Linked DNA regions of Saccharomyces cerevisiae S288C. The gene in region 1 interacts genetically with each later gene. Each region holds a gene or a part of one and is shown on either strand. Other genes may lie near its edges.

Region 1 (4,270 bases):
GAATAGAAGTCGGCGTCGGAGTCCCAGAGATGCTTTCCTTGCCCACTGACAAATTATTCGCGATGATCCAATCGTGAAACAACAGGGCGACCTTAGGGTTCTCCTTGATGTTGTAAAACTTTTGTGTGTCCTGAGGAGAAACAAATATAATGTAGTCATTCTTATTATCTGTTTGACCGAACAGTTTTTCACCTGGCACATAGATATAGTTCATCAATGCCACTGAAGGGATGCAGTCTTTAGAACAGGTGGCCACGTGAACATATTTGGAGTTTTTGATCAGGTTCAGTAGATGCGCTGGTAATGTACTAGTCCAAGCCATAATTGAGATGTTTCAGGGTTTGAATAGCCTGTAATTTTACTGCTATTTTCTAATAAGGGAGGAAAAGTGTAGCAAAAAGATCGATGATTTATATTCCTTCAGGTTCATAAGGGGAGCAAATGTCAAAGCGCAAACGTGGGAAGTGACGATAATACATGTATCCCATTAAATTATCATATTATTGTTACATCATATGTACGTACATACATGTGTAAAATACGGAGGTCTACTCTGTAGTTACACGCGTGTTGGAAGTTTTCTTCTGGGACCACGAGTCCTATTTTTATTCGGGTGAACTAATGGTTTAGTTTCCTTCACTGTTTCATCTCTAGAAGTAGTATACTTGTCAGAAGTTGCAATATTAGTGTTAACACCGCTAAGTTCTGGTAGAGTATTAGATGCTCTTAAGTTTCTAGAGGCAATTATTGCGTCTAATTTTGCGTTTATGCTCAGTTCGTTTGAGGACTCTAAAACAGGCTCGGTTTTAGATTTTTTCATCAATTCGACTTTTCGCAATGCCTCTGGCAAAGAAATTTTACGTTGTGGCGCCGTTGGTGGCCGTTTCTTCAGGTTATTCCGCAATGATAGAGCTTCAATTTCGTCATTTAACTTGTTAATATCATCACCATTTTTGAGTGTAGTATTTTTCGAATTATTTGTTAGAAATGATTTTTTCTGAGGGATTGCAGGCTTCTGCTGTTTGGTTTTCTTCAGATTTTGTATACCTTTTATTGCTTCTGGAATACTGTCCTCCTCTTCTTTTTTAATGTTACGGTTGCTGGATCGTAACTTGGGCAAATCGATTGAGTTTTCGAAGTTCTGCTTTGTTGGAGAAGTTTCTACGGGACGTAGCTCAGGTAATACTATATTCAACTCCACTTTCTTTGGCGGTATGCTTGGTTTGGTCTTATGGGCGGCCAAATTTGCATTCCGTAGCTTTTGAGGTTTTTCAGGCAAAGAAGGCTTGGAAGTTGTCGTGAGATTCGAGTTTAGCATAGACTTGATAAAACTTTCAGATCTTGGAATTCTTTTCGCAGGTGGAGAAGGAGGGGTTGGTTTAGGTTTATTTTTCATTGTAGGAGATAAGGTGGTTGGTTTTAGTTGTATGGAATCCAAGTAATCGATATGAGAACTTTTTACAGTTGTTTTGGGAGTTTCCATTTCCGAATTATAACTCTTCGCCTTTGTCAATTTGTTATCTTCCAAAGAACTTAAAAAGCTCGCCGGTTTTGTAGAGCGTGAGACAGGTGGAGCAGGCTTAACGCGCTCAGGTACCACAGCATCCGGTTTTATTGACCTTGATGACGGACTTTCTGTAACTTCTGCTTTGTTAGGCCTTGTTGGAAGAAGCGGTTTCTCTTCATTCCCATCTGTGATTTTGATATGATCACGCCTTGTGGGCAAAGGCGGTGGTGATGAAGAAGAGGAGGAGGAGGGTATATCGGCTCTTCCTGGTAATTCAAAATCATATTGGATGGTGATTATTTCCTTCTCTCTCGGTCTGGGTCGACCCCGACTGGGCATACGAGGACCTTTTTCAAAGGAAGGCAAATTTTTGTCAGCATTGGAATCATTATATGTTTGAGAGGCTTTCAATTTCTGCAATAATAAATAATCTTCTTCAGAAATTAAAAATTTTTTTTCTTTTTGAGAGGCACTTCCCTCCAAATCCGGCCTTGGCGTTATTCGTTCGAGATTCAGCTCACTTAATGAGTAATGAGTCTTCTTTGGAGAAAACGTCATTTCATAATTGTACGCAGATCGGTAGGCCAAATTGTCGCAACCTTCCACATTTTTCCCTGTCATCATATCAGCCCTTCTGTATTCCCCAGAGTTGTGACTTCTAACTGGTGAAAGCGCTTCCCCCGCTGGTTTTGAACTAGGAATATTACTGTATCTCTTAGAGTTCAAATCCTCCACTTTCGATAGAAAGTTCACCAATTCAGGGTCACGCTCATATTTTGTCATACTTCCGAAACTTCGAAAAGCTAGGAAAAGCTGGTTACTGTGACTTTTATTGATTAGAATTCATATATAAATGTATATATTTATACTATATATTCTTTCATAATATTTCACTCAATTCGCTATTGTCGAAAAGTGTAATAAAAAAGAATGTCACATGGAACGAGGTTACGATAAGTATATAGAACAGTTGGACGATATTAATGCATTTGGTATTATCCTATTGGCTTCAAGACTAACGCAACTCGATCGAAGGTTTTCTTCTGGCTAGGTAAACTTGGAACCCACAGAATACGAAAAACACGAGGTATACCAAGGCAGCCAAATAAACAGTATGTGCAACACTATAAACAATAGGGTTAAAATATAATTGTTAGTAAGGAGGAGAGATATAAGAGATGGTAAATGGGTAACGGCGAAATAAATAAGAAAATATAACATACGCAGGTCCATCTTCAGGATCGTTTATTGATCCTACAAAGGATTCATGGTTTGTGTTGAAGAGATGAGCAATGACGGAAAGAATTACTACACCAAATGCCGATAGGACGGTACAACACCATGCCTTACCAGTGGATACAACGGGTCTCATTTTTTTTGCGGTGTTTGCTTCTAGCTTTGTCCTTTATCGTAGAGGTTCTTGCTTTGAAAGCTACCTATTCTTTTCTTTTCCCTTAAGCTATTTTTCAAATAATAGAAAAAAGAGTCGCGTGCAAAGCGATAAGCAATTTTTTTCAGTCTTTAAAAAAAATGATCCTGAACAGCAGCATCTTTATTATGCAGCGTTGATGCAGTTTCTAACTCAATTAGTTGAATCACCTACGCTCTTCTGTGTTTGCACTCAGTAGTATTGTGGTGTTCTTTTCGATATTCTCAGATACCGTTTATTGTGCGCCATACCGATGGATGCAGAAATATCATTTAAATAGTTAAGCCAGGAAGTGGCTGAGACATATTATCAATATTTCGGCACGTAAAGCTAGGCGGCTTTACTGAACATCAGCACCTTGAATTTCATGTTGCCTTGTATGTACAAACTAAACCCTTACTCAGTAATAAAAACTAAAATGTGTCTTCTAGTTATGAATGCTCTTAGTATAACTCTCATGAAGCAGTCAAGTCACTTTCATGTATTTTATAATACGAGGCGAATGTCTAGGCTAAGTTAAAAAACTAGATATAGAAACCATTCCCGAAATATCATATAATTATAATATCCTGGACACTTTACTTATCTAGCGTATGTTATTACTCGATAAGTGCTAAAGGAGGTGCACGCATTATGGAGACCACTACGATACGATAGCTGCGTTGTTGTTGAAGGGGTTTCTTAAGGTTGTTTTCGTTGAAGGTAAATATTGGTCGTTTTTGTGCAGCATATTGTCCTCTAGATGCAAACTCTGCAGGTCCATTTGCAGTAAAGTGAGTTGCCTCTCGAAGAATCATTAATTTCGTATAACCGTCACTATTAAAGTCAGAAAATAAATTCTGTCGTAGACAATGTTACCATAATGTTCTTGTCCATTTTGCATACACTTTAAATATTCATTTGATTTCTCAGGGTTCATGATCATAATAAATTGCGCATTCGCAAGGCGGTAGTATTATAATGGGGTCCATCATTCTGTAGCAAGAAGTTACAGTACGCTGTTCAAGCGTTAAACAAGATAAGTAATCTCGAATGAAACATTCATATTTCGCATGAGCCAACATACAGTTGCTGAGTAATCTTCATTGCGCTTATTTATCGGCATTGAGATTGTAAAGGAAGTAAAACGCATTTTTGCAGATCTGTTCTCTTATGTATTTTTAATCGTCCTTGTATGGAAGTATCAAAGGGGACGTTCTTCACCTCCTTGGAATGTGTTCCACTATCCTGTACATGTGAAATGTATAAAAGCCAAAATTGACCTTGTCATTACCAATGAATGCTGTTTTTGCAGAAATAACGAGATATCTGCAATAAAAGCAAAAGTAAGTTTG
Region 2 (3,653 bases), on another chromosome or scaffold:
TTTTGTAGCCGTATCTCAACCAATGTTTGACACTGTGTTTATATATATTGAGAAGTCTGGGCAAATAGAGTTTTTCTTAAAACTGGTTCTAAAGATTAAGACAAAATCAGATTCAATCCCGGATGAGTTTGGTTCATCTTTGCTGTTTAATGACGAAGAAAAGAAATTGTACGTTTCCTCCCCAGGCAGTTTCGATGCAAGAGGAAGTATATGGAAAATTAGTATGGATGAGCTATTAAAGGCGGGAAACGATCCGAAGCGCAAAACCCTTTTGATTAATAATTTAAGGCATCTCATGCTCATAAATCCTGACAAAAGTAGCAAGGGTGTGTCAAATTTTGGTAATAGCATGATTTTGGGTCCCCAAAATCACCTTATAGTAGGCATTCCCCAATATGGGTATGGAAATTTTGATCACATGCAGCTAACCGGTAGAATCCTGGTACTTTAATGATAAGTTATTATGTACAAGCATCGGTTTAGTTCAATTACATTAATTTAATACTTGAAAAGCATATTTGGCAATATGCGCTATATATATTCTGATGTCATTTGCTTCTATTTACATTTCATTCATTTTTTTTCTCTGAATCCTTTTTTGCAATTTTTCTTGCCTCTCCTTCTTTCTCAATTCCTTTAACGCCCTCTTATCGTTGTTTTGTGGTTTAACGTCCTTTGGTATAAGTTTCATTATCATTTTCGAGTTCATGTTACCTAGCAGAACAGGATCATTAGCATATTCGCTAACTATCTCTTTCAATGTCTCCAAGACAGCAGCTCTTTTCTGGAAAACTGATTCTGGTAGCCTGGGTGGTTCACCTTTTTGAGAGCGGTCCAGCTCCTCAAAATTTTCAAGCCAATTGTTTGAATTTATGTTATTCTTGTCATCAAGATATAACGTTACTTTATTCCCTTTTTTCAATAGCGAAACTATTTCGTGAGCCTTCTGCCTTTTTAAATCATCGCTTTCAATCTGCCATGATATTTTAATATGCTTCAAGTTATCTTCTTTTTTATCAGTCACCAAATTCTTGTAAGACTTATTCAGTACTCCCAATTCCATCAGTTCCTTTTCCTTTTTTTTAGCCAGAAAGTCTGAATATTTTTTTAAGGCTACACGACTTTCGACTATCTTAACAAGTGGAATTTGATTTTCATTATCGATTTGCTCTACATTAACAATACTGAGTCCAACTTTATCGAGATCAATGCCCTTGGCAAAATACCGAATATTGGATGCTTCAATTCGGTGGGTAGTGGGATCCACAACTTTGATGTTTCCCTTGTGATTTTTTTTGAATATCTCACTAACAACTGAATTAGCTGCCTCTTTAGCTCGATCTGTCCCGGTGCTCCAAGTAATCAGGATTTTTTTCCTGTTAGTAGCATTCCTTGGCACTTGTTTCGGGCGCTTAATATACTCTTTAGGAAAAGCAGCATTTCTTGCCACATTTCCATGACTTTGCTCTTTAAGATTTGCCAGCTCACGTTTACGTTTCATTGCGTTGCGAAATATATCTGTGGTAGATGATGCATTGTCTCTGCTGAAGTATTTTGTGCAATGAAAATATCTAAAACTTTTTAAAAACAGCATCTTCTGTGAAAGAACATCACTCAAAGGAACTTTTAACATATCCACGGACCTGATGTTACCTCCTTACTGTGTATGCATCAGGTATGCATTTTGTGATATATAGCTGTTATAGTTTTCTGAACTTACTTTTTTAGACCCTTAAAGTTCTTACCGTCGCGGGAAAATTCAGGTAAAATTCAAGAGCTCAGGATGAAAACTAGACAAAAGGAACGAGATTACCTTCAACTCCTATGCCTTAAACATTTTTTGTTTCCTCAAGAAAATTTGTTTACAAAATCATTCCATCTTTTGTTTTAAATAAAAACTCGACTTTGGGAAATCATATTATTGAGTGTAATATACAAATAAAAATATTGGTTAAAAAAGTTTAATAATAGATTATAAATTTAAAATACGGATAGGTCTCTTATCATTCACATATCAACACCCATGACCATGGCCAACAAAGCCATTCTGACGAACAAACCATACTTCATTTGTCTGAAGTAAGCAGCACGATGATCGTAGTCCACTTCCTCTTTGATTTCATTTACACGAGGCAATGGATGCATGATAGCCATATTTTCTTTGGCGTGTGCCAAGATCTTGTTGTCCACGATATAAGTATCCTTCAGACGTGCATATTCTTCAGGGCTATTGAATCTTTCTTCTTGGACCCTTGTACAATACAGAACATCGGTCTTTGAGATGATATGAGGGGTTAATTCAATGCTCTCAACACCAAGTAAGCCAGCTTTTCTTAGCTCTTCTCTTAATCCTTCTGGTAACCTCAATTCCGGAGGAGAAACAAGATTAATTCTGACTTGATAGTGCATTAACAAACGACACAATGAATGTACGGTTCTACCATGTTTGAGATCACCCATGAAAGTAACAGTAATACCATTAACAGTACCGATTTCTTCACGAATCGTAAACAAATCCAAGAAGGCCTGCGTAGGATGCTCGCGAGAACCATTACCACCATTAATAATTGGAACAGGAGAATATTTAGCGGCGATATGAACAGACATTTCTTCTGAATGACGCATGACAATGGCATCACTGTAACAAGCCAAAGTTCTGATAGTATCTTGAAGGGTTTCACCTTTCTTGACAGAAGACACCAATGGATTAACATTTACAATTCTACCACCCAAACGTTCCATAGCAGCAATGAATGAAGAACAAGTACGAGTAGATGGTTCAAAGAAAATTGTAGTAATAACGTGGCCTTTCATTAAATCTAAGACACCTTCTCTTGCGACAGCTGCCCTTAGTTCTTGTGCAACAGCAAACAACACATGGAAATCAGAACGTTTGAATTGTTTGATAGACAATATATGTCTTCCGCGGAATGGATTGTTACTACGGATCAAATTCTGGATGGCGCCTGGAGCAACAAGTTCTCTTGGTGGCCTTGAAGACATCAATTTTTGTTCCAAAGGCTGTTCTGGAATTGCATCCTCCGCGGCATCTAAATTATCAGCGATTGCTTCTTCCGTGATCGAGAACCTTCTTTTAGCACTAGTAGATTGGAGCTCTGCGGAAGCAGTTATGGAAGCTGGACTTGGATTAACAATGCATTTTCCTTTGGCGCCTGGTGAAACTAATTCACCGCTCAAAACTAATGTTTCGCCATTATAGACAACACGCTCAATACCACCGTTCATATCTTTGTTGAATGGTGACCATCTCTTATTACGTCTGAAAGAATAATCCAAATCAATTTCGACAACTGAGTCCTGAGTAGGGATGTTGAAAATTTTAGCGGGATTGTCATGCAGACGAAGGACGATATCATCAATGGTTAATTTACCTTCTTCAACAGCAGCCAACAATAGTGGTAATGAATCTTTGATACCCATACCAACATCAACCTTGTTACCTGTGACATTTGCCAAGGCGACAGGAAGAGCACCGACAGAGAAAGCATCGATACTATCAAGGTTGTTCCAGAAAAACTCTTGATCTTCCTTAGTAGGCAAGAAAACTGCCTCCGGATAGTCATCTTGGGCAATAAACAAAGAATAAATATTGACATCACAAGTCACTCTAGGGTCTTTTGCCTTGACCGTCA
Region 3 (2,994 bases), on another chromosome or scaffold:
CACCTCTGGTTCTTCTGAGAGCGAAACAATCTTAGTGATTGCTGGCATGTCATTAGCGACAAGACGCTTATTACCGTAGTAGCCCCCCAAGGCAAACATCTCTTTATCAGTAATATCCAAAGCTGTTCAACTTCTCGAATTGGCCCAGGAAAAGAGCATTGGGGCGGCAACTAACTCTGGCATACTTACAGTTTCTGCTCTTGACAGCGCTAAAAAAGGGCTTGTTTTGTAATGCCCGGTTCGCAATTCTACAAGTACCACGCACTAGCTGCTAAAAGTGTCTAACCTTGCGAACAAATCTGGACTTTCTTATGAGAATCCCATCGTCAAGAAACAAAATTATACAGACAGGCGTAAATGTAGCTCGTAAGCGCCTGATCAAGTAAGCCAAATGCGCTAACTTGAGGAAATATAGCCATCTAAATCTCTGCAACATGCCAATTCGCACGTGACTTGAAACTATGGAAAGTGTCTAGAAGATTACCAAGAACCACGTTATTTGAGAGAGGATGGCAAGGTGACGACAATCACACCAAGACCACATTTTGGGTGCGCCTGGAAGCAAGACCTGAGAAACTGGGCCAAAATATTCAAACCAAGCATAAGATAGTTGGAGGTAGGAATACACTATCTAATCTGTGCTGATGAAATGCTGGCGAAAACGGGCGATGTAGTGGTACAGAAGGTGCCGGTTATCCGTTTGTCCGTTTTTCTTCATTTTTTTTTTGTTTTTCCCTTTTGTCTTTTGCACCGCTTATATATGGGTATGAAACAAGTTCAAGAATTTATAATGGAACCCAAAGGTTCAGTCTTTGTAGTTCGAGCGACATTGCGCGTTTCCTTAGAAAACGCTGGAAAGATATTCTTTAACGAGACGGAGTAATTCTCGTCAGGAATAGGATGTTGATTGATTTTTGCTGTAGTTATATAGCAGGGACCCACGGAAGAGAGCGAGCGCCTTCTTTCACAGGGACTTTTGTCAGCCACGTCTCCGGGGAAAACAATTGCCGTCCGCGTCGCAGTGAGATTACGCAGCCGTGCGCTTCAGGGACAGAAAAGAAGCATTTCGCGGCTACGGAGAAACCGTGCACTAACTCTCTCGAGGGTAGCCGCAAAGATTTCTTGTCTCTTCCATTAGGACATAGCTATCTTTTTCTTTTCTGTTTTTGGCGTATGATCTGTTCTGAGCCAAAGTTATAGATCATTGCTTGAATAAGCACCTCACAGAGTAGGGATTGTATAGAAAGTAGCTGAGCGTCTGCCCACGTAACAAACAATCTTGCCCCTTCCCCGCTCTTGTTTTCGCGTGCCTCTTCTACAATAATCTGGCCAGGCTGAATCGCGTTCTGCTGCTGCTGCTGCTATTGTTATTGTTGTTGTTGTTGTTTTGGCCAATTGCTTATGTGTTGGTCTGCAAATTAGCACCTCGTTCCCTGTTGGCAAACGCGCGCGTACAAGCCTTACAGGGCTTGAGAATGTTCTTCGTAGAAATGCATGCACAAAAATTCTGATCTAGCACACCATCGGTCTCTGTAGCTTCGGGCTCTATAGCTATGGGTTAGGAGTCCGTGAGTAGTAACAAGAAGAAGTATATAAAAAGCAGGTAAATCGTACTTCAATATGCTTCATTGTCACTGGATCGTCATATTCACTCTTGTTCTCATAATAGCAGTCCAAGTTTTCATCTTTGCAAGCTTTACTATTTCTTTCTTTTTATTGGTAAACTCTCGCCCATTACAAAAAAAAAAGAGATGTTCAATCGTTTTAACAAATTCCAAGCTGCTGTCGCTTTGGCCCTACTCTCTCGCGGCGCTCTCGGTGACTCTTACACCAATAGCACCTCCTCCGCAGACTTGAGTTCTATCACTTCCGTCTCGTCAGCTAGTGCAAGTGCCACCGCTTCCGACTCACTTTCTTCCAGTGACGGTACCGTTTATTTGCCATCCACAACAATTAGCGGTGATCTCACAGTTACTGGTAAAGTAATTGCAACCGAGGCCGTGGAAGTCGCTGCCGGTGGTAAGTTGACTTTACTTGACGGTGAAAAATACGTCTTCTCATCTGATCTAAAAGTTCACGGTGATTTGGTTGTCGAAAAGTCTGAAGCAAGCTACGAAGGTACCGCGTTCGACGTTTCTGGTGAGACTTTTGAAGTTTCCGGTAACTTCAGTGCTGAAGAAACTGGCGCTGTCTCCGCATCTATCTATTCATTCACACCTAGCTCGTTCAAGAGCAGCGGTGACATTTCTTTGAGTTTGTCAAAGGCCAAGAAGGGTGAAGTCACCTTTTCTCCATACTCTAACGCTGGTACCTTTTCTTTGTCAAATGCTATTCTCAACGGTGGTTCTGTTTCCGGTTTGTAACGTAGAGACGACGATGAAGGCTCTGTAAATAACGGTGAAATCAACCTAGACAATGGAAGTACCTATGTTATCGTTGAACCAGTTTCTGGAAACGGTACAATCAACATCGTCTCTGGTAACCTATACTTGCACTACCCTGACACCTTTACTGGCCAAACTGTTGTATTCAAGGGTGAAGGTGTTCTTGCCGTTGACCCAACCGAAACCAACGCCACTCCTATTCCTGTTGTTGGCTACACCGGTAAGAACCAAATTGCCATTACCGCCGACATCACTGCTCTTTCTTACGACGGTACTACTGGTGTCTTAACTGCAACCCAAGGTAACAGACAATTCTCTTTTGAAATTGGTACTGGATTCTCTAGTTCTGGCTTCAGTGTCTCCGAAGGAATCTTCGCAGGCGCCTACTCATATTACCTAAACTATGACGGTGTCATCGCTACAAGCGCCGCATCCACATCCGCATCCACTACCTCTGGTGTTGTCTCTACTGCCACTGGTTCAGTCACTTTATCCTCTAACGCTTCTACCACCGTCTCTTCTACGATCTCTTCTAGCGCCCCAGACTCAATAATTCCTTCATCTAGCGCCTCTATCTCTGGTGTCTCAAACTCCACTACAGCATCTGGTT

What was found.
Region 2: mutations in BSP1 (region 1) and AIM23 together harm fitness more than expected from each alone (negative genetic interaction), as found in Saccharomyces cerevisiae (one large-scale study listed by BioGRID).
Region 3: mutations in BSP1 (region 1) and YAR066W together harm fitness more than expected from each alone (negative genetic interaction), as found in Saccharomyces cerevisiae (one large-scale study listed by BioGRID).

The regions. Positions count from the first base shown.
Region 1 is NC_001148.4:881,848-886,117, reverse strand, and holds BSP1 (Bsp1p), read right to left. Parts: upstream 2,291-4,270; coding exon 560-2,290; downstream 1-559. Other genes in the region: YPR172W (pyridoxal 5'-phosphate synthase), read right to left, coding at 1-322; YPR170W-B (uncharacterized protein), read right to left, coding at 2,523-2,631, 2,731-2,879. UniProt on the Saccharomyces cerevisiae protein: Recruits the capping protein complex to actin patches and the actomyosin contractile ring, and/or stabilizes their interaction. May serve as an adapter to link INP52 and INP53 to the cortical actin cytoskeleton. Binds F-actin.
Region 2 is NC_001142.9:163,716-167,368, forward strand, and holds AIM23 (Aim23p), read right to left. Parts: upstream 1,634-3,653; coding exon 563-1,633; downstream 1-562. Other genes in the region: YJL132W (uncharacterized protein), read left to right, coding at 1-451; URA2 (bifunctional carbamoylphosphate synthetase/aspartate transcarbamylase), read right to left, coding at 2,008-3,653.
Region 3 is NC_001133.9:219,298-222,291, forward strand, and holds YAR066W (uncharacterized protein), read left to right. Parts: upstream 1-1,751; coding exon 1,752-2,363; downstream 2,364-2,994. Other genes in the region: YAR064W (uncharacterized protein), read left to right, coding at 901-1,200.